Arabidopsis thaliana: one gene and its partners. The protein of the gene in region 1 purifies or fractionates together with the protein of each later gene. This does not show direct contact. Each region holds a gene or a part of one and is shown on either strand. Other genes may lie near its edges.

Region 1 (6,709 bases):
GGCCATAAGGTTTCATTTTGGGTTCCGATTTAAGAGAATCAGATTTTGAAAAAAAAGGTTAGGTATTGACTATGAAGTTAGCATTTTTGAGGTTTGGACGATTAAAATGACTGGTTATCGATCATATGTGTATATAATAGTACCTTAAAAGAGTGACTAGAAAAGTTGTTCTAGACAATAGTACCTTTTAAAAGAGTGACTAAAAGTTGTTAAATGTCAATACCAGTTAATTTGACCTGTCTCGCCAAATAATTAACTAACAAAAATCTAAAACTTTAACAGTGAAATCTTTTCATATTGCACAAGCAGTCAAGCGCATGAAATGTCGTCGCATAACTATTAAATATACCATGTACTTTACATTAACCTACTTATTTTTACTCGATATATCTACCTAATTATGTTTATAAACTATATATACAGTCTATACTTAAGAAACTTTTTACGGTGATCTATCTTTTACCTTTTAATTTTTATTACTTGAATAACAATAATCTAGATGTAACATGTGTTCGCTTTTAATTTTTTGTAATTGAATAGATTTAGCTTCGTTAAACACATATTGATTGATGAATGCTTGAAATTATTGTTCTACAAAAATACTCCAACAAGATTTTGAACCAAACTAGAGATCAGGCTTGCATGATTAACAAAACTATCCATTGATGTAATTATAAACTATCAAAATGAACGGGGTCAAATATGTGACAAAGTCATAATTATTGACCCAATATGGGCTTTTTGATAAGGCCCACAGACAGTTTTTACCCAAGTTCCTAAGAAGAAAGTTGGGTTTTTGCTAATCAGGAAACAAATTCGTAGAAGAAATATTACTGCATTTGGAGAAGAAGTCAAAATTAAAGAGGAATAGACTCACAAAGTCAAAAGATCAAAAGATAAGCACAAGATTTGTATTAATTAAATACCTAATGTATCAAAAACGACTATTTCGTAGTGAGAATTAGGAAAAATAATGACACACAAACACGCAATCCAGAATAAACATAACACAAATATCTACCTAATCTATTTTATCATTAATTTACCACCACACCATTTTATGAACGTAGTCAAATAATCAAAATAATACCTTTTATTTTGTATAAATTAATTAAATAATACATAATCTACTCTAATCTACCCCACCAAACCCTATAATAAGTTGCGTGACTTTCTTATATTAATCACGATTTGATTGAATTAATACATTTTTTCTCACCTAATCAAATCTTTCTCGTTCTCATACAATATGGAGAGAAACTCTTGGGCCGAGCAGTGGGACAGCAATCAACAATCGTCGGGAAAAACAACTCACGGCGGAGAAGGTGGTGGTGCATCGTCTAAATACAAAGAGAAAGTGGGGGCTGGATTAGGGAAGACGAAAGCGGCGGCGAGTTCGGGGTTAAAGAAGGTGAAGATAGGAACATCGTTGGGTCTTAATTGGGTTAAAGACAAGTACAACAAGACCACCACTAAGAATTGACTCATCATATCTTTGTTTTTTTGGATTTACATATTCGTCTTCTTCTTCTTTTTGTAAACGATAAAAATCTGTTTTGATTCTTGCTATATTCATAATGATCGGAGATATTAAAGACTTTTGAAAAAGATGATTTGGCTTGGTTTGATCTTTTTATTGTTCCGTGGAAATGGGGTGAATCGTTTGGTTTGTGAATAATTTTACTAATCATTTTATATAGTTCGAATCAAAAGTTGAAAAACTCAAAAAAAAGAATCTGGATAGTTTGATCTTGTGCGGAATATTAAACTGTGATGAAGAATTGGAATCGAGTCTAGATTCTTGATGACTCTTTAAGTTTAAAACCGGTTTAGCTAAAAATCTGCAATTTTGTTGAATGTCCCTTTTGATTAAACAATTTTTACAAGAAAGAAAAAAAAGACAGCCTCGTATAGGATGTATATAAAAAAATGATGTAAAAATGGTTAGAAATCCAAATAAATGTAAATATCCATGAATTAAATCAATCTTATTTTTTAAAAGGTAAAAAACTATTTTATATGAGCAGCTATCAGAAAAATGGGTCAGATATCATTCTTAGAACCAAAACGGAAAGTCCCAACGATCCCATTTTACTCCTTTTCACCACCTCTAGTAGCAGAGAGAGAGAGAGAGTATGGCGATTACGGTGCCGAGACGGCAACTCTTCATCGGCGGTCAATGGACTGAGCCCGTTCTCCGTAAAACTCTCCCTGTTGTCAATCCCGCCACCGAAGACATCATCGGTACTTTTTATTTTTTCCAATCATATCTTGTGTTACTCACTTTTTGAACTTGATCACTCGATTTTCGCGAGTTTCGATTCAATCTATCGTTATCGGAACTACGCATTTCCCGATTTGCTGTATACTTAGTTCGCGAATTGAAAGAGCTTTGAACTTTTGTCTGTTTGAGACGATCGTCATTTCTTCTGTGATTATTGTCTATGAACGGGAGCGGAAGTTGTTTTTGCGTTAGATCTGTGGGATTATATAGGAGGAGAATAGATAGATATGTAGTTGAATGATTGGATTGGATCTCTTCTCCTGCTGATGGAGTTCTTTGTAGTGTTTTTTAAACTGGGATTGGTGGTGGTTTTAGGTTATATTCCAGCTGCAACTTCTGAAGATGTGGAGCTTGCTGTGGAAGCTGCTAGGAAAGCATTTACTAGGAACAACGGAAAGGATTGGGCTAGAGCAACTGGTGCTGTTCGTGCCAAATACTTGCGCGCTATTGCAGCTAAGGTAACAACAATGAGTTAATCAAATCTATGTTCCTCTCATGTTTCATTCTCTGTTAGCTGTTTTGCCTGGCAATAACATAATGGAAATATCCAGGTAATAGAGAGGAAGTCTGAACTAGCTAATCTTGAGGCTATTGATTGCGGTAAACCTCTAGATGAAGCAGCATGGGACATGGTATTCTCAATTTGCTTTTGTGAACATTTGGCAGTTTTGTGATTCATATGTCACATGTGGTTGCTTGTAACCTTTGCAGGATGATGTTGCTGGATGTTTTGAATATTATGCTGACCTAGCTGAAGGCTTGGATGCAAAGCAGAAGACTCCTCTTTCTCTTCCGATGGATACTTTTAAGGGTTATATTCTCAAGGAACCCATTGGCGTAGTTGGCATGATTACTCCATGGTACTATATTTCATTGACAGATTTGAATCTAACCGATCCCTCAGATCGTTGTGTATTATCCTTTGTCAAGTTCGCGGATTTAAATTTTACATATTCAGATCACATTGGTCTTCAAGTGTTCTATCTTCCTTTTTAGACAAACCGTATGTTATTAGGCAGCTAATAATCTATATTTGCATTCAAGGAACTATCCGTTATTGATGGCTGTCTGGAAAGTCGCTCCTTCACTTGCTGCTGGGTGCACGGCTATACTGAAACCTTCAGAGTTGGCCTCCCTGTGAGTTTTTGATTTCTGTTGACATCATAGCTAGCCACTTCAACTATTAGTTCATTAACTCGCCAATCTGATGCTGTTTTATTCCAGGACATGTTTGGAGCTCGCTGATATTTGCCGCGAGGTGGGTCTACCACCTGGTGTTCTTAATATTCTGACTGGTTTAGGAACTGAAGCAGGTGCTCCACTGGCATCGCATCCACATGTTGACAAGGTCTGATCACTTGTATACCACTACCAGTGTCCTGAAAGTCAAACACTTATAGATAGAGCACTTATTTCCTTTTTATGGGTTAGTTGAAGTATTGATATTTTAGCCTTTACCAGATTGTATTCACTGGAAGCACAACAACTGGAAGCAGCATTATGACTTCCGCTGCCAAATTGGTGAAAGTAAGTCTAAGTGTCCTTGTTACTCTCCTTTGGAACTAGTAGTTATCTTGGCTTGTTTATTCGACCTATGATTTTTCGGGGTCTGTACATGAATCTTGTTTTATGTTTCATTCCACAGCCAGTTTCCTTGGAGCTTGGGGGTAAAAGCCCTATCATTGTCTTTGATGATGTCGATATTGATAAAGGTGGGTACTTTTGGAACCTTAAGAAAACTATGCTATATATTTGTATTCTAAAATGCTGGTTTAATTTGTGACTAATATTTTGCTCTAAACAGCTGTGGAATGGACTATGTTTGGTTGTTTCTGGACGAATGGGCAGATTTGTAGTGCCACATCTCGACTTCTTGTGCATGTAAGTGAGCCTATAATCTACAGTACCTCTGATTTTAAATTCTGCACCGAACTGTTCATGATATGTGTTATCCGTTAACACATATAAAACAAGTTATGTGTTATCCGTTAACACATATAAAACAAGTTATGTGTTATCCGTTAACACAATTATATGTTGTAAAATTAAAGGTTACCTTTGGAAATTAAGTTATAATTATGTAGGCTACTCTAGTCATAAAACAAGTAGAATATATAACTTATCTTTTACATGAAACCACCGATGCAAAGGTACAGAGTTTCAGTATATGTTTATCTGTAAGACTGGTCATCAGCAATTCGGATAGATTGATAAGTATCAGTTGTCGTAGGACCTTGGGAACCCTTGATAAAAGTAGGATAGCGAAGCTTTACTATACTTCTTGTGTACTGTTGTTTTCATGAAAGAATCTGGTGAAATGTCAGGAAAGGATTGCTGACGAGTTTTTGGACAAGCTGGTAAAGTGGACCAAGAACATTAAGATTTCAGATCCTTTTGAAGAAGGCTGTAGGCTTGGTCCTGTTGTCAGTAAAGGACAGGTTAAATTGCTAAACAGAATTGACATTCTCAAGAATAAACACCTCAATCCTCCAAAACCCTCTTATCTATCAATTTGGGTTAATGACGAAAGATTTCTAGTCAAGTCTTACATATTTATCCTCCTGTGCAGTACGAGAGAGTTCTAAAGTTTGTCTCAAACGCTAGGAATGAAGGTGCAACTGTTCTTTGTGGAGGAGTTCGTCCTGAGGTACATTATATTGACTAATCTTCTATGTATGTGCCAAATACTATCTAGAGCCCGTAGCACTTACAATATTTTATTTATGTTCTGCAGCATTTAAAGAAGGGATACTTTGTTGAACCTGCGATTGTTTCAAATGTGACTACTTCAATGGAAATCTGGAGAGAGGAAGTCTTTGGTCCTGCTCTGTGTGTGAAAACATTCTCCACCGAGGATGAGGCAATTCAGCTTGCAAATGACTCTCAGTGAGTGTAGATTTCTCTTCTTATCTTGAAGTAGAACTCCACTGATGACGTGTTAGATCATATGCCTGACTTTATTTGTATTTGCAGATATGGATTAGCAGGCGCAGTATTATCAAATGATCTGGAGCGGTGTGATCGTGTTAGTAAGGTGTGTATCTAACTTTTACTATCAACAATAACAATCAATAACCTCATGATTGAACTTAATCTCTAAAGTTTTATGAATCGTAATCATTGTGTGTTTCAGGCTTTCCAGGCGGGAATAGTGTGGGTCAACTGCTCTCAGCCATGCTTCTGCCAAGCTCCATGGGGTGGAACCAAACGCAGTGGATTTGGCCGTGAATTGGGAGAATGGTTAGTCTCTTTCGTTAGCTATAAGTATTAAGATTATCAAACCATTAGAAAAAGACACTCTCCAACTAGATGGAATTGTGTCCATAGTAACTTAAACCGTAATAGATTACCAACAAAATTTGAATTGAAACATATTTTCTTCGTCGCAGGGGACTTGAGAACTACTTGAGTGTGAAGCAGGTGACTCAGTATATCTCTGATGAACCATGGGGATGGTACAAACCTCCTTCCAAGCTCTGAGACAAACACTAGTTCCTGATATTTCCTTAAAACATGTACTCATGAGAATATACCAATAAAGCAAGAGACCCTTCTGTAAGAGAAATGGTATTGCTACTTTAAATTCTTGAAAAAAATGAAAAATAAGATGAGATGATATTTCTTTTTGTTTTTCTCAAAACAACATGCCATACAAAAGTAGCAAAAAACTGGCGAAAGATGAATGCTCTTATATGTAACATACAAAAGTTACAGCCTACAGTAAACTTCAGAAAGCAAAGAGGGTATGCGATCTGTGAATTAATGTCGGATTCTTGCAGTTACAATTGTGTGGAGAAACTAAACCACATTGATCAAAAGAAATGACTCTTGAAGCTCTCTACACGAATGATGATTGATGTTCACAGGTAAGAGAAGAAGAAGAAGAAGAAGAAGAAGAAGAAGAAGAAGAAGAAAAAGAAGATCTAACGGTGTTGTGATGTATTAGGTAATGGATTCTCCTGGGTGACTTCGCTGAACCATGTCTTCCAAGCATCCATGTAATGGGAAAAGAGGTCTTTCAAAACTGAAATTTGTTCAGAAACAGAGTTAATTTCATAGCAATATTTTGACAAGTTTGATATCAAATGGATGTGAATAAAATATATGCACCTTGGTTTTGGTAAGAGGGACGGTAATCAGAATCCAGATTCTCAACATCAAAAGCTCTCCTAGAGTTATCCTCTAAACCAGCAGTTGGATATGTACCAGTGCCTGGTGCAAAAGGTCCAAAATGGTAACCTCCTCTTGATCCATGTCTTGATTCATGAACATCAAAGCTTTTGTTATAAGAACTCTCTGGTGTTGAGTGCTTTTTCATCTTTAGCCTTCTCTCTGTAGCGTTTTCTTGGGACGAAGATGATGATTTGCTTCTCTTAACATTGACGTTTGTAATATCAGTTCCGAAAGCTCTTTTTCTTGACTCCA
Region 2 (4,651 bases), on another chromosome or scaffold:
AGTTTTCTTTTGCAAACATTTGAGTTTGGTTTGATTAACATGACATTCACAAATATGCTATGCTTCTATGTTGAGGTATATTGTACAATGAATTGGCGTATAAGAGACTAAAAGAGAGTGTATAGTTTCTTTTGTTGAGGTTTCTTTGATATCAAATGTTTTTTCACTAAATAAATATTTCCTCGTTACCAAGAAGACATGAGATTTGGGCCGTGTAGATATTTTTTGGGTCGTGTTTGCATAAGAAACTGAGAGGGGAAACACTAAAAAAACAGAGTTCAGCTAGAAACAAAAACAGAGAGGAAGAGAGCCCAAACTTACGCCTGGCCAAAAAATACAGAGCAAAACAAACAAAGTCAAGTAATTCTAATAACAAATATATTTTCTAATTTAAGTAAACCTTATATGAATTACGAAATTGATAATAAGATTTTATAGAAAAAAATTAAATTCAATATTTATATCTCTAATTTAAATATGTTTTGTATATTTTTTAAAACAAGATTTGGACTAAATTAATACAAATATCTGCATTCTAATCATAAAACTTTCTCATCATATGTCTTTAATTTATAGAAAGCTTTTAAATTTCATTTTCACAGATTTTACCAATTATATACTTTTGCAACTAAAAAAACCAGAAGACTGCAGTGTAAAAGCTAATGCTAAGATTTTACTAATTATCTGCTCAATACAAACACAAATCGATAATAAAGCTCTTTACATACAAACACCGGATTCTACTATCGATGATGCGGATGCGGTTACATACATCAATGCTGTGAAGGAAGCATTTCATGATGAACCTGCCAAGTATGACGTGTTTTTAAAGCTCTTTACTGACGTTCGCGTCCATATATAGATATGAGTTGTTTTCTCTCTTGTTATGTTTGGCATGCTCATCATTTCATAAGTACCAATCCACAGAACAAACACACTACGTGAACTGATCCTGATGTTACTAAGGTCTCTTTTTGTAGAGTGTATGTCGCTAGTGACATTTCTAGAACGAAGGAACTCATCAAAGATCACGAGAATCTGCTTCTTCGTTTAAATGCCTTCCTTTCCAGCTGAGACTCAGAGAGTCCTACATCCCAATATTGAGCAACGGGCTGCATCTGATGATAACAAAAGAAGTTCCTTGTAGACTGACAAAACATAAGCACCTATGTGCTTTGATTGAGCTTTGAACCCACAAGAGCCAAGATTTAGCTAATACTACATATGAACCAATTGCTTCCTCTACTAGGAGCTGTACCAAATCTTATTATCACTGTACAAAGTTTCATATTGTTAAAAACTAATTTACACAAGATTACTTACAACAAATAAAGTTAAAACAAAAATAGATTATAGAGTTTGGAATTGGTAACTAAACCAATTGAGAGAACATGGAAATAACATTCTCTAGTCTAGTCCGTCCATGTTTGGTGGTGGTACAGTATGAGAATTTTGCACGTGAGAAAGCGCGTGTGCTAAAAAGCGAGTGAGCATTAAAGACACGAATAAAAAACCAGACATAAAAAGCCAAAAAGTTTCTCTTTAAAAAACCATTAAAAAGGACCCAAAAGTTAAAGAAACGATATATTCGAGGCAAAAGTAGAATTATCATCACATAATAATTTCGCTACGTTGAAAAAAAAGTGAATAAAAAAATGAAATGATATTTTCAGTTGTACGCTCTTCTCTTCCTTATATCTTCCGCTTCACTTCACACCAAAATCACCACCTCTCACAAACCCTAGTTCCTCCTCTCTCTCATTTCTCGGAGATATTCACCAGAGCAATAACCATGGACGCTAAAGAAACCTCTGCCACCGATTTGAAAAGACCGAGAGAAGAGGATGATAACGGCGGCGCCGCTACCATGGAGACGGAGAACGGAGATCAGAAAAAGGAACCTGCTTGTTTCTCCACTGTTATTCCTGGGTGGTTCTCTGAAATGAGTCCTATGTGGCCAGGTCTTGTTTCCTTCCTCTCTCTCTCTCAAAAAACAAATTCTGGGTTCTTAAATTAAAAAGCTGATTTTTTTTTTCATTGGTTTGATGATGCAGGAGAGGCACACTCATTGAAGGTTGAGAAAGTTTTGTTTCAAGGGAAATCAGATTATCAGGATGTTATTGTTTTCCAGGTAACAAAAATAAGAATCATTTCTCTGTTTTTTCCTAACTTATTTGTCTGTGATTATACTTATAAAGACTTGTTTTTTATGTGTTGGTTAGTCTGCAACATATGGAAAAGTTTTGGTTTTGGATGGAGTAATCCAACTTACGGAGAGAGATGAATGTGCTTATCAGGAAATGATCACTCATCTTCCTTTGTGTTCTATCCCTAACCCTAAGAAGGTATACAATCAATCCTTTTGCTAGATTCTGTGACCTTGATTGTGTTGTGTTGTGGGTAATCAAAAGTTTATAGCTTTGGAATGTAATGAAAGGTCTTTCTTGAAGTTTGCATTTTTCTTCTCCGGTAAAGTAGGATGATGAAATCATTAGTTATGGAGAAATAGAGAAACCAGAGTTCCTTTTATTAGATGTGTATATAGAAACTACTTGAGTTGGCATTAATGATTACATTCCAGGGTGGTGATAGGAATGTCCACTAGAGAAAAGGTTCATGATCACCATTTTTTGCTTTTTATATGTACAAACTTTGATGGCCTCCTGAGAAAAAAAGGTACATAGTCCCATGTTCCCTTCTGGCAAAGTTAGAGAACTCAAGTAACTTTATTGGGTTATAATAATGATTCGGAAGAAACTTATTTCAATGGGCTTAAATGATTAGTCTTTAGCTTGTTATTGGGGGACTTGGTTCAGAAAAGGTTAGATAATCAAGCTTCTTACATTCAGAATTGCTTTTGCTCCCAAGTATCAGAATTGGGTAGTCTAACTATTTTGGGTTATGGTAAAGTGGGTCAGCTAAAAATGCTGTTTTTGCTTTTAGCTAGTAAAGCTATAAGCCAGAGTGTATCTGATCAATGCCTTTCTAGTTCTTCCATAGGTTTTGGTCATTGGAGGAGGAGATGGAGGTGTCCTGCGGGAAGTTGCACGCCATGCTTCTATTGAGCAGATTGACATGTGTGAAATTGATAAAATGGTGGTCGACGTGAGTGGTCACTTACTTTTCACCTTTCCTTCTTCTCTATTTCGATAGATAAATACCTTGTTATCTAATTTGTTTCCACCTACTGGTAATTTTCAGGTGTCTAAGCAATTTTTCCCTGATGTAGCAATTGGATATGAGGATCCTCGCGTGAACCTTGTCATTGGCGATGGTACAATACTGCCGCTTTTTTCTCTCTTTCTGAAACATTATGTAGTTATGTTGAACACATTTTGCCGTTTCAAACTGATCGGTTGGTGAATCGTTGCAGGTGTTGCTTTCTTGAAGAATGCTGCTGAAGGATCATACGATGCAGTTATTGTTGACTCTTCAGATCCAATCGGTAACTACTACAATCAGATGTCATCAGATGTCATCAGAAACAACATTATTCCTTACTGTTATGTTGAACAATACTAAAAAGCAGCCTTTACTTATTGTCTGTCAGGTCCTGCAAAGGAGCTGTTTGAGAAACCCTTCTTCCAATCTGTGGCTAGAGCTCTTCGTCCTGGTGGAGTTGTGTGCACTCAAGCTGAAAGCTTGTGGCTTCACATGGACATCATCGAAGACATTGTTTCCAACTGCCGTGAGATCTTCAAGGGTTCTGTGAACTATGCTTGGACCAGCGTTCCAACATACCCCAGGCATGTTTAATGACCTTTAACATCAATCTCTCTCCTTTTTGGGTGATTATAACTTAACCTGAATCACACTTTTCTTATTTTCAGTGGGGTCATTGGATTTATGCTTTGTTCAACTGAAGGACCTGATGTTGACTTCAAACACCCACTGAACCCAATTGACGAGAGCTCCAGCAAATCAAATGGACCTTTGAAGTTTTACAATGCCGAGGTAAGATAAAAATCTCTCAGTATACCATTTCATGCGGTCTACACACTCGAATCATTAGCTTATGCTCTCATTTCTTGGGGGTTTCAGATTCATTCAGCTGCATTCTGCTTGCCTTCTTTCGCCAAGAAGGTCATTGAGTCAAAAGCCAATTGAAAAGGGAAAGAAAACTAATCTGGAGGATCGTTGAATTTATCAAAAAATAAAAGCTTTTTACAGTTTTTAGAATGTTCTGTTGTTTCACTCATGTTTCTGTAACACAATGCAAGAGCGACTATGTCTTCTTTTAGCATTACACATTCGCATAGTAGCAAATCCTATTTACAACATGTTCTTATGCTTTTGCGTTGAAGCTGAGAAGTCTAATAACCTTTCTGCTTTTATACCATTTATTATAAAGATTCACACTTTGAATTGATCTCAGCCAAAGTCTCTTAAGCAGCAGGAGTTTTAGCTTGTTCTACATCACGCTTTTTTCTCAAAACCATAGTTTTACAATCATGGTAACAGGCAAGACAAGTCACCCATTTAAGTAAATTGCCAACACAAATCAAGCCTACATAGAAGCCAGTGTACATCACTCCATTTCCACTCGCACTGCATTTGGAGTATAAACATGGCATCCTTGTCGCAAGACCGAAGACCAAGAACATTAACATCAACCAGAGGTCACGCTTCTCATGTCCTTTTCTATACCAAC
Region 3 (5,570 bases), on another chromosome or scaffold:
TGAACAGAAAGTGAAAAATGAATTCTCACCTTGAGTGTATCAGAAGCCTTTTTGAGCTCAATTTCAAGCTCCATCATGGTGCTCGCTTCGCTCGCACGAATAACAGCAGCCAAAGCTCGTATAGCCGCGACGGCTTCAGCCAGATCCGGTTGTTTTCTCCAGTTATTGAACTCTTCAATTACATTAAACGACTTCTCGTTCCCGAGATCAGTTACGGATAAGTCATGCTGGGCATCGCCTGAGACGCCGCCAACGGCGGCTTGAGCTTGGGCTAGCCAGTCGCTTGTAATGACACCGTGATGCGCCGCGCGAGTTTGGTAATAAGCGGAGATGGAATCAGGGTTTTGAAAAGGACCTCGTGTTGTATCCGCCATTGGAGGTGAATTCGAGCTTCGTCGCTCGTCGAGAATAAACGACGGTGATCTTCTCCACATTGATTTTTTTTTTTCTTGAGAAAATTCTTCAAAATGGAAAAATTGAAGATAATATACTGTCGCTTTCTCCAGAAATATCATATGAAAAATAAATATAAGGCCCATTAATAATATAAGGCCCATTTATAAGCCCAATAAATTTACTAATTTTCATATCTTCATATGACATGCCATGGAATGGAAGTACAAAATATTCTAAAATTAAATTAGCTGATCACAATTGCCTGATCAAATTCAAAACACAAGTTTTCTTTTTTTTAATAACTCAAACTGATCACACTTTTCTTCAAAAGGGTCTTTAAGTTCATCTTCATGGTCAGGTCCTTTTAGTTGCGGAACTCGTCCATGAAGCTCTTGTGGAACTCTGTCAGACGATTCACTATCGCTGGAATCTTGTCTTCTTGTGGAAGTATTGTGCATCTAAAGTGCCATGTTCCAGGAACCTAAACCACAATGAATCCAAAACCCATTATTCAAGTTCGATCCTTTTGTAAGACATTTAAAGTTATGAAGATTTGGTTATATTTTACCTGTCCAAAGCCAGAACCAGGGACTACAACTACACCAGTAGCATTGAGAAGGCGTTTGCAGTAGAACGCATCTGGTGCAGTTTTTTCAGCCTCAGCAGCTTCGATAGCCTTTTGAGGAAGGTTAATTCGCGGGAAGAGATACATTGCTCCTTCGGCTCTGTTACATGTAACACCTTCTAAACTGTTGAGAGCGTCTTCCAAAGTCTGCAAGTTCATTTTCAAGCTTGTGACATTATATACAAAGAGACTGAAAAATGTCGTTAGAGGGTATTGTAATCTTCGACTAACCTTTGCACGTTTAGCCATGGATGAGAGAATTCCATCTCTTTCTGCCATGTATGAGTCATATGAGTCATCACCAGGCTGATCAAATACAATATTAGACTTTTTAGTCATAATCTGTTGCAAGAACTTAGCGAAAACCGATTAGAGAGAACTAGGGTGTTACCTTGGGTGGGCTCATGACAAGGCTAGCAAGAATTTGACCAGAGATGTTAGAACAAAGATTCACAGAAGCCATTTTGTATATCTGTTCTCTTACATCAGAAGTGAATCCAGTAACCTCCATGTAACCTCCTCTTTTTCCACATTCTCCATAATATCCTATCAACAGAAGAATATTAAAAACAAAAACCCCATTTTTTAGATGACAAGCATTGGACAGTAAAAGTTGTTCTTTTACCTTTGGAGACTGATTGGAACGAGACTAACGAGATATCTTTTTCTCCATAGCCCAAAGACCGAGCCACTTTCTTGAAAGAATGGAACTTTTTGTCAGGGACGTAAACATTTTCTTGGTAGACTTCATCAGCTAAAAGAACCAAACCCTCTTGCTTGCAGAAATTAACAATGTCACGCTGGTTTTCTTCCGCAAGAACCTAACCAGAATAAGAACGCAAGATTAGAAGAATGTTACATTTTGTTAGGCTAGTCTTGAAAATCTGTTTGTACCTGCCCAGTTGGGTTACCGGGGTTTATGACAACCAAGGCCCTTACAGAGATGCCCTTGGACCTAGCTTCCTCTAGTTGCTTCTTAAGGTCAGATATTTCCAGTCCCCATCCTGTTGCTTCATCAAGATAGTACGGAACCTAAGAAGTACAAATTTCAAAAACTTGTACCAAAAAACAACATTACTCCATGATGATTATATGAACATACCAAAGATCCACCATGAAGGGCAATTGAAGCCGAGTACAATGGATACTGAGGAATCGGGGAAAGAATACCATCTTTCTCTGAGCTCAAGAGAAGTTGCATCATCATGTGAACCTATAGAGTAAAAAACACCAAAAACACTTAGCATGAATCCTTTAAAAGAACTTACTCTAACTCTATGAGATAACGTTTTCGTTTTGATTGTTACCGCTGGACTTGCACCATCAGTCAAGAAAATATCATTTGGATCAGCAGGGAAACCATCACGTGCTTCGATTCCAGCTGCAATTACATCACGTAAACCCTTGATACCCTGAGGCAGAACAAAAAATGAAACATTCAGCAACATAAGAACCATCTCAAGAAAGGGTTTAGGACTTTTAACTAGACTCTAATAACAAACCTGGCTATGACTGTAAGCCCCAGTTGCTCTTCCGGGAATATGGTCCAAAATCCTCCATGCTCGGTCAATTGAATCGGTACTGATAGCAGAGTAGAAATCAAATGTTAAGCAATCTTAAACCGTGAGCATACATGTCCTAAAGCTGAAATATAGCAAGGAAAACCTCACCTGAACAAACCATGGGTTTCAGACTCATCCAAAAGACTTGCGTGGTCACACAATGCGAGAACCTGAGGCATATAGATGATAGACGTTATATCTCTGTGGCTGATATGACAACCAAACTAGTACCAAAAACATTCACTTACCTCACGGAAGAACTTTATAGGCAGCTGACCAAGAGATTGAGGATTCCCAATGTTGCAATAGATTATCTGCCAAAAGTAATGAAGAATTCTAAGTTCCTTGCACAAAGAGTTTGAGAACAGGTAACATCAACACTAAACTAATCATAAATCCGTCAAAACTGCCGATAAAGAAAGAGATTTTACCTCATCAAAGGGATAAGCATCCTTATTAGTCTTCAAGTCTTCTTGTAACTTCTGTAAGATGGAAGCAAAAAGCAAACAAAAATCAATTAGCATTAAAAACAATTTTACAGATTTTGTTCTTGGTTTTACAAGACAAAGCACATGCATCTCTGACCTGAGCAATGTTGACAATTTCTCCTCGAACAGCATACTCACATTTCAGAACCTGTTCCCCGGAAAAGAAAAAAAACTCTTAGTTAACAATAAAACCAACTTCTCTGTAATATAAAGTACAAAGAAGTTATGCAAAGCTTGTCGATTTCATCGTTGGGAATCACAACGAGAAGCAAAGGATAAACCTTTGGCGTTAAATCAGACAACCACAGTAAAAAATTGAAACTTTTTTACTAAATTAGAAACAAATCCAGATCAACCCTGAAACCCACAATTCAAAAACGCAATAAACCAGCTAGAGAATTAGAAACCGACCTTGGGATTGATGGAGTCAAGAGTAACGGGAAGAGAAGAAGTGGAATCAGAAGCAGACATCTCCGAAGTAGAAGAGAAGAAACGAGACAGAGCAGGAGGAGAAGAAGCAAGGGGACGAGGTTGAGGAGAGAGAAAGCTTGGACTTTTGTGGTGATGTTGACGACGAGAATGGTCGACGAGACCTTTAGCTTGGTTAATCAAGAATCTCCGCATCTGTGAATCAGCTTTATACTAGGAACGTGCTCTTTAAGCCCTAGGATTGAAAATTCTCTCACGAGGAAACAAGGGTCCCAATATCCAGTGCCTTGCACACCGAATTTTGCCTTGTCCTCCACGCTCAGAAATTGCTTTTTCGTTTTTTCTTTTCGAAAATCTAATTGATGAAGATATTTGTAGGGGTTTTTTTTAGGCGGCTAATTTTGTTGATTTATCTGTTAAACACACGACTAATCCCAAAAAAAGACATGTCTTTTATCAAAAAAAGATGTCTGAAGTCTATCTTCCGTTGACTTAATTATCCAAAAGGACCAAAATTGAATAATCCAATCACAGTCGTAATCTAATTTGGGGATAAATAGATACTTATAAAACCTACAGCTAATTTGAAAGTTATAAATTTTTAGAAATCTCTAAATTTAAATAAATCACAACAACATGTAGCAGCACATTGCTAACGATGAGGTTTTTTTTGGGCTACATAATTGGGCCCTAAAAAGGTCGGTAAAATCGTGATTTAAAGCCCATTATTTGTTTATATCCACGTCAACAAAACGATATCGTATTAGGTTGGACGAGAATAAAACCCTAGGAATTAGAAAATTTGTACAACGTCAAAACATCGAAGATTTTGATCCAACGTATACCAAGAGTTTCGGAGACGACGTCGTTTTGTCTCTGCGCCGCGTTCTTAGTCTGAGCTCACGCTTGTTCGTTTCTCCTCTAACGTCAACTGTGTTTTTGCATCCTCAAAGGTTTGTGATACACCTTATTGTTTCTGTTCTTTTGTACAAGCTTCACATGGATTAGTGTAAAGTCTTAGAATTGGGACTCGGAATTTATTGTTATGTTTTAGGTTATTCAACCCAGTTATGGTATCGTTTTGAAGTAGAGGTAGAAACCCTAATTTTTGGGGTCTGTAAATTTGGAGAAAAAATTGAACCTTTCCCTTTTTTGTTATATTGTGTAATTTGGGACTAATAGTTCTTCGAAGCTGAGTTTTTTTGTGTGTAAATTTTGTAGGGTTTAACATAGTTGGGGCTAGGAATTTTCATGGTTTCTGTTGGTTCTAAATCATTGCCATCTAGGAGGCACAGGACCATTGAGGAAGATAGCTTGATGGGTGAACGAGGAAAGTCTAGTAACAATCACAGTGAAAGGAATAAGGGAATGCGTAGGAAGGACCATAAGGGTAACCGTGGATTTGATGTAGATAGCAGCAAGAAGAACCAATCCGGTGGTGCCCCCAATGTAAAGCCAGCATCAAAGAAACACTCCGAATTCGAACATCAGAATCAATTTGTCAGGTAAAGGAGATTTTTAACCAAGGGCCTTTGCTCTAATTTATAGTCGAAATTTTGTTGTTGTGAGAAGTGGTAGTGATTTGGGTGTATCTTTTTCAGGAAAGAGATTGATCCAGAGACTTCAAAGTATTTCTCTGAGATTGCCAATCTCTTTGATAGTAATGAAGTTGAATTAGAGGAACGTTCAGTAATATGTGGAAATGCCCTTGAAGAAACAAGAGGGAGGGAGTATGAAATTGCTACAGACTATATCATAAGTCATGTCTTGCAAACTCTACTTGAGGGATGTGAACTTGACCAACTCTGCAGTTTCATACGAAATTCTGCTAGTGTGTTCCCAGCCATTGCAATGGATAGATCTGGTTCTCATGTCGCAGAGTCTGCTCTCAAATCCTTGGCCACACATCTAGAAAATCCAGACGCCTATTCTGTTATTGAGGAGGCTTTGCATTCTATATGCAAGGTACTTTATACAATTTTTACTGGCTTTGACAATCATATTAAGGTATCCAGATTATTGCTTCTAGTCTAGTAATTGACCTCAATTTTGATGGTGAAATATTTCCCC
Region 4 (4,732 bases), on another chromosome or scaffold:
GTTGATACCTCGTGAGCTTGTATCAATTTTCAATGATAAAGAGCTTGAGCTCCTAATCAGCGGGTTGCCTGAGATTGATTGTAAGTTGGCATTCTATTTTTCAATATTTTTGCATCTATTTGCTTATTCATTTAAAGTTATAATAACAATCTTGTTATCTGTTTTCTTTTGTTTTTTAGTTGATGATCTAAAAGCAAATACCGAGTATACCAGCTACACGGTAGGGTCCCCTGTTATTCGTTGGTTCTGGGAGGTTGTCAAAGCTTTCAGCAAAGAAGATATGGCTAGATTTCTTCAATTTGTCACTGGAACATCAAAGGTAAAACCAATATTTGCAGCTTCTGTCCAAGTCGCTTGAGCTTCATTTTCTGATATGTACTAGTTTTTCTTCTGGTTGTTTTACAAGCGGTGTTTCTGTTTTCAGGTTCCCTTGGAAGGCTTCAAGGCACTGCAAGGTATTTCTGGCCCTCAAAGATTACAAATCCACAAAGCATATGGATCTCCGGAGCGGCTGCCATCAGCTCATACATGGTTAGACATTATTACAAAGTCTTTTTTTTTTCAGTTAAACGTGGTCGTAATTTTCATTGGTTCTGTTGCAGTTTTAACCAACTAGACCTCCCTGAGTATCAATCTAAGGAACAAGTTCAGGAACGCCTGCTTCTTGCAATTCACGAAGCCAATGAAGGTTTTGGGTTTGCTTGAACAAAGCTTAAGAAGAAGGAAGAGCTTTTGATTAAGAGCAAGAAATAGAAAACGCAAGTGGCTATTTTTGTCTGTCCATATATTATGTTAGTATATTAGTCCATTGTTTTTTTTTTAGGCTTTCTCTCTATTTCCTTAGATTTTGTTAAAAATAGTTGCAAACTCTCAAATATTAGTAGTTGATATTTGCTATCCATTTTTATAAGATGAGAAAATTACATAACTGCTGGTCATTATTTTGAATACTTCCTTTCTGTCACGCGTATTGGCATATTCCTCAACCAACATACGAAGGCCAGTTTGTTATCACAAGTTTGCAAGCCCATTGTCTTAATATCTCAACTGTCTCCAGAAGCAAGTCTCATAACATCTAGAAGAGGTTGTTGAGCATACCAAGTGTGTTCCGAGGAGGATAAACATGGGAGACTCCACTCCAAACTCCATTACCTTCACCACCTGCCTATTCAGCAAATGAAGAATCAGAGTGTGTGCATGGCATCTCTCCGAAAATCCCACACAGGGTCTTGATCTTTGTCCTCCACGTTCATCATCATTTTCATCCATTATTGCTTACTCGCCTTGTCCTTGACGTTCCACATTTGTCTCCAGCCAACAAGTATTGCTGGTATAAGCTTTGATAGTTTGTAAAATAAACATTAGCTAACATAAATACTCTTTTGCCTCTTATCAAAAAAAAAAAATGATGCTTCACAAGTTAACACACCTTCAAATTTTCTTAAAAAACATCTATATGCAATAACAGAATTCAAATTATAATGCAATAATGATAAGAAAACATTTCTCCTCCATCAACCAAAACGTGAATTAACATCTATCGAAAATAGGTGCTTCACAAGTTGACACACTTGACACACAAAATCTACAAGTGTGAGAGCGCTTGTTCATAACGAGTTTAAAGAATCGCAAAACACACTCATATTAATAATAATCAATCAACTTTTGGAAATATTCAATACTCTTTTGTTGATACATGTAGTCTTCTAAGATAAAATAAAAACGTATACACTAAACAGTTTTTTTTTTTTTTTTTTGGGGTCAATAACAGAATCTAAAAATTAAAGTTAAAATTTAAACGATAAAAGTATTTAATTGGGACGTTTATCAAAATGAAACAATGCATTGGATCGGCTTTAAAAAGCAACCAAAAAAAAAAGAGCTGTCATGATTGATATTCATCATCACAAAATAATGAAAATTGCCTTATTCACGTAATAACAAAAAGAAAATGATTTTATAACAGTCGAATCGTACGGCAGATATTTGTTGGCCCCTCCTCTTATATGATATCATAGTCAACAAGAGAACAAAGCCACAGAGAGAGAGAGACACTAAAACCCTAATCTCTTACTCACTGTCTCTCTTCTTCAATCCATGTCTTCAACACAAGAAGCGTCTGTTACTGATTTGCCCGTGAAGAGACCTAGAGAAGCAGAGGAGGACAATAACGGCGGCGCCATGGAAACAGAGAACGGTGGAGGAGAGATAAAGGAGCCTTCTTGTATGTCCTCTATTATTCCTGGATGGTTCTCTGAGATTAGTCCTATGTGGCCAGGTATAGATTCCTCTGTTTTCCCCAATTGAGGTCCGTCTAATTCCTCATGTTAATTCTCTGTGAAGCTGATTTTGAATATCTCTATCTGAGTTTGTAGGAGAAGCACATTCTCTCAAGGTAGAGAAGATTCTATTCCAAGGGAAATCAGATTACCAGGATGTTATTGTTTTCCAGGTAATAAGGACAGTTTCTTGGTTAGTCTGTCTCTCTAAGTTTGGTTCACTTTTATATAAAGTTGTCAACTTTGGTGTATTTTGTTAGTCTGCAACATATGGAAAGGTTTTGGTTTTGGATGGAGTGATTCAACTCACTGAGAGAGATGAATGTGCGTATCAAGAAATGATCACTCATCTTCCTTTGTGCTCTATCTCCAACCCCAAAAAGGTAAATCCTTTATCAACAATCTTAATCTCTAGATAATCAAAGTCTCTTGCTTTCAAATGGAAAACTGCAAGAAAGAAGGTGAATTGTCTATCAGTTATGACCATATAACTTGTTTGAGCTAGAAATACATCAAAAGGATGATCCTTTAAGGGAGTTTTAGTTTTGAGTTTGTGTTTGAGAAAGGTCTATAATTGAAGTGTTTTGAGTCTTTTCCCTCTTGCTATTGGATGGTATAACTGTAAAGTAACCAAGTGGGTTTCTTATGGAAATGTTTCTTCTTCAGGTACTGGTGATTGGAGGAGGAGATGGAGGAGTCCTGAGGGAAGTGGCACGTCATAGTTCTGTTGAGCAGATTGACATTTGTGAAATAGATAAAATGGTGGTTGATGTGAGTACTTGTCAGATTTCTTTCATTTATTATTATGCATCTTGCAAGTGCATTGTGATGAACCTTTACTTAAGTTTAATATGTTTTCTTCCACCTTATGGGATCTTTCTTCAGGTGGCTAAGCAGTATTTCCCTAATGTAGCAGTTGGATACGAGGATCCTCGTGTCAACCTCATCATTGGCGATGGTACACAATGCTCTCTGCTTTCATCTCTCTCTTTTGAGATCAGTTTTTATAAACAATGTTGTGGCCATTTTTTTGTAGGTGTTGCTTTCTTGAAGAACGCTGCTGAAGGAACCTATGATGCAGTTATTGTTGATTCATCTGATCCAATCGGTCCAGCAAAAGAGCTATTTGAGAAACCTTTCTTTGAGTCAGTGAATAGAGCTCTTCGTCCTGGTGGAGTTGTGTGCACACAAGCTGAAAGCTTGTGGCTTCACATGGATATCATTGAAGACATTGTTTCTAATTGCCGTGACATCTTTAAAGGATCTGTTAACTACGCTTGGACCAGTGTTCCAACTTACCCGAGGTCTTTGAAATTGATCTTGAAAACATTTATGCTTTTTTTGTTTGCATTGATCTCAAACGTCTGAGTTTGTATGTGATTCATTTGCAGTGGAGTCATTGGATTCATGCTTTGTTCATCTGAAGGACCACAAGTCGATTTCAAGAAGCCAGTGAGTCTAATCGATACTGATGAAAGCTCTATCAAATCACACTGTCCCTTGAAGTATTACAACGCTGAGGTACATAAAAAGTAGTTAGTGTAACAATCATTTTCGAAATGTGTGAATCATTGTTAAGAATTGTGATTGAATCTTTTTGTGTTGCAGATTCACTCAGCTGCTTTCTGCTTGCCCTCTTTTGCTAAGAAGGTGATTGATTCGAAAGCCAACTAGAAAAGAGAAGAGAAATCATTTGCTTTAGAGAAACTTCATGTGGAAGTGATAATATGATGATACAATGATCCTTTGGAAAAAAATAAAGAAGTTTTAATTTTTAGAATGTAATGTTCTTTCACCTGCAATGTTATGTGACTGCACTGAGCTATCAATCTCTTTTTATAAGCATTACACATATTTCATATCCTTTTTTTAACGTTATGCATCTATAATTGACTAACTTTCGATTTAATGTGATCACATAATATGATTTAAAACCCAAAAATTTGTAGACTAATTTTTTATCATTTTGACATGTTTCCTCTAAATTATAAAAATAAGGGCAAATAAAACAAATATTTTAATAGGTGTGATTTGGACCAAAAATAGAAAAAATGGAGAGGCAAAACTGTTTTATGGGCCTTAATAAAAATTAAATGTTTTGGGCTTACATCATCAGCCGTCCAAAACAGTTGGTTTGTCCAACAGAACTTGTATACGTGTTCACTGGTATTGTCGACGTTGACGTTATAATTATAACAAGAGGTTGACCATCGTTATTCACGTGTGTATGGGTTCACATCTATCATGACATCACAATATTACAAACATTACCTAATTTATGACTTTTAAATCTAATGATAATTTTACTTGATCGTCATCAATTATGTTTAATTTTCTGTCGCTCTCAATTCCTAATAATACCACTTAATAGGTCCTTCTTGAAGTAGTTGGATTGCCACTTGCAACTTTAACCAGCATATAACCTTGTACATGTTCCTTTTTTTTAGTTAAAG

What was found.
Region 2: the proteins of ALDH10A9 (region 1) and SPDS1 fractionate together in Arabidopsis thaliana (co-fractionation; one large-scale study listed by BioGRID). This does not show direct contact.
Region 3: the proteins of ALDH10A9 (region 1) and ALAAT2 fractionate together in Arabidopsis thaliana (co-fractionation; one large-scale study listed by BioGRID). This does not show direct contact.
Region 4: the proteins of ALDH10A9 (region 1) and SPDS2 fractionate together in Arabidopsis thaliana (co-fractionation; one large-scale study listed by BioGRID). This does not show direct contact.

What each region holds. Positions count from the first base shown.
Region 1 is NC_003074.8:17,785,345-17,792,053, reverse strand, and holds ALDH10A9 (aldehyde dehydrogenase 10A9), read left to right. Parts: upstream 1-2,027; 5' UTR 2,028-2,135; coding exon 2,136-2,244; intron 2,245-2,599; coding exon 2,600-2,742; intron 2,743-2,835; coding exon 2,836-2,916; intron 2,917-2,995; coding exon 2,996-3,144; intron 3,145-3,328; coding exon 3,329-3,421; intron 3,422-3,508; coding exon 3,509-3,632; intron 3,633-3,745; coding exon 3,746-3,811; intron 3,812-3,929; coding exon 3,930-3,996; intron 3,997-4,088; coding exon 4,089-4,165; intron 4,166-4,608; coding exon 4,609-4,722; intron 4,723-4,853; coding exon 4,854-4,931; intron 4,932-5,018; coding exon 5,019-5,170; intron 5,171-5,257; coding exon 5,258-5,318; intron 5,319-5,417; coding exon 5,418-5,524; intron 5,525-5,673; coding exon 5,674-5,764; 3' UTR 5,765-6,200; downstream 6,201-6,709. Other genes in the region: AT3G48180 (CDP-diacylglycerol-glycerol-3-phosphate 3-phosphatidyltransferase), read left to right, coding at 1,250-1,483; DEL1 (DP-E2F-like 1), read right to left, coding at 6,208-6,308, 6,395-6,709.
Region 2 is NC_003070.9:8,418,618-8,423,268, forward strand, and holds SPDS1 (spermidine synthase), read left to right. Parts: upstream 1-1,792; coding exon 1,793-1,961; intron 1,962-2,054; coding exon 2,055-2,131; intron 2,132-2,222; coding exon 2,223-2,345; exon of another isoform or gene 2,346-3,000; coding exon 3,001-3,105; intron 3,106-3,201; coding exon 3,202-3,274; intron 3,275-3,373; coding exon 3,374-3,445; intron 3,446-3,550; coding exon 3,551-3,746; coding exon of another isoform or gene 3,747-3,750; intron 3,751-3,830; coding exon 3,831-3,954; intron 3,955-4,041; coding exon 4,042-4,107; downstream 4,108-4,651. Other genes in the region: AT1G23830 (uncharacterized protein), read right to left, coding at 4,386-4,651.
Region 3 is NC_003070.9:27,231,762-27,237,331, reverse strand, and holds ALAAT2 (alanine aminotransferase 2), read right to left. Parts: upstream 3,858-5,570; 5' UTR 3,696-3,857; coding exon 3,483-3,695; intron 3,220-3,482; coding exon 3,169-3,219; intron 3,066-3,168; coding exon 3,015-3,065; intron 2,898-3,014; coding exon 2,832-2,897; intron 2,754-2,831; coding exon 2,692-2,753; intron 2,603-2,691; coding exon 2,524-2,602; intron 2,434-2,523; coding exon 2,290-2,433; intron 2,235-2,289; coding exon 2,124-2,234; intron 2,054-2,123; coding exon 1,916-2,053; intron 1,843-1,915; coding exon 1,647-1,842; intron 1,568-1,646; coding exon 1,413-1,567; intron 1,328-1,412; coding exon 1,253-1,327; intron 1,169-1,252; coding exon 965-1,168; intron 878-964; coding exon 761-877; 3' UTR 543-760; downstream 1-542. Other genes in the region: AT1G72340 (NagB/RpiA/CoA transferase-like superfamily protein), read right to left, coding at 30-515; PUM23 (pumilio 23), read left to right, coding at 4,752-5,005, 5,102-5,465.
Region 4 is NC_003070.9:26,484,718-26,489,449, reverse strand, and holds SPDS2 (spermidine synthase 2), read left to right. Parts: upstream 1-1,854; 5' UTR 1,855-2,097; coding exon 2,098-2,278; intron 2,279-2,375; coding exon 2,376-2,452; intron 2,453-2,539; coding exon 2,540-2,662; intron 2,663-2,945; coding exon 2,946-3,050; intron 3,051-3,164; coding exon 3,165-3,237; intron 3,238-3,315; coding exon 3,316-3,583; intron 3,584-3,670; coding exon 3,671-3,800; intron 3,801-3,887; coding exon 3,888-3,953; 3' UTR 3,954-4,212; downstream 4,213-4,732. Other genes in the region: UPL2 (ubiquitin-protein ligase 2), read left to right, coding at 1-80, 180-319, 425-531, 603-705.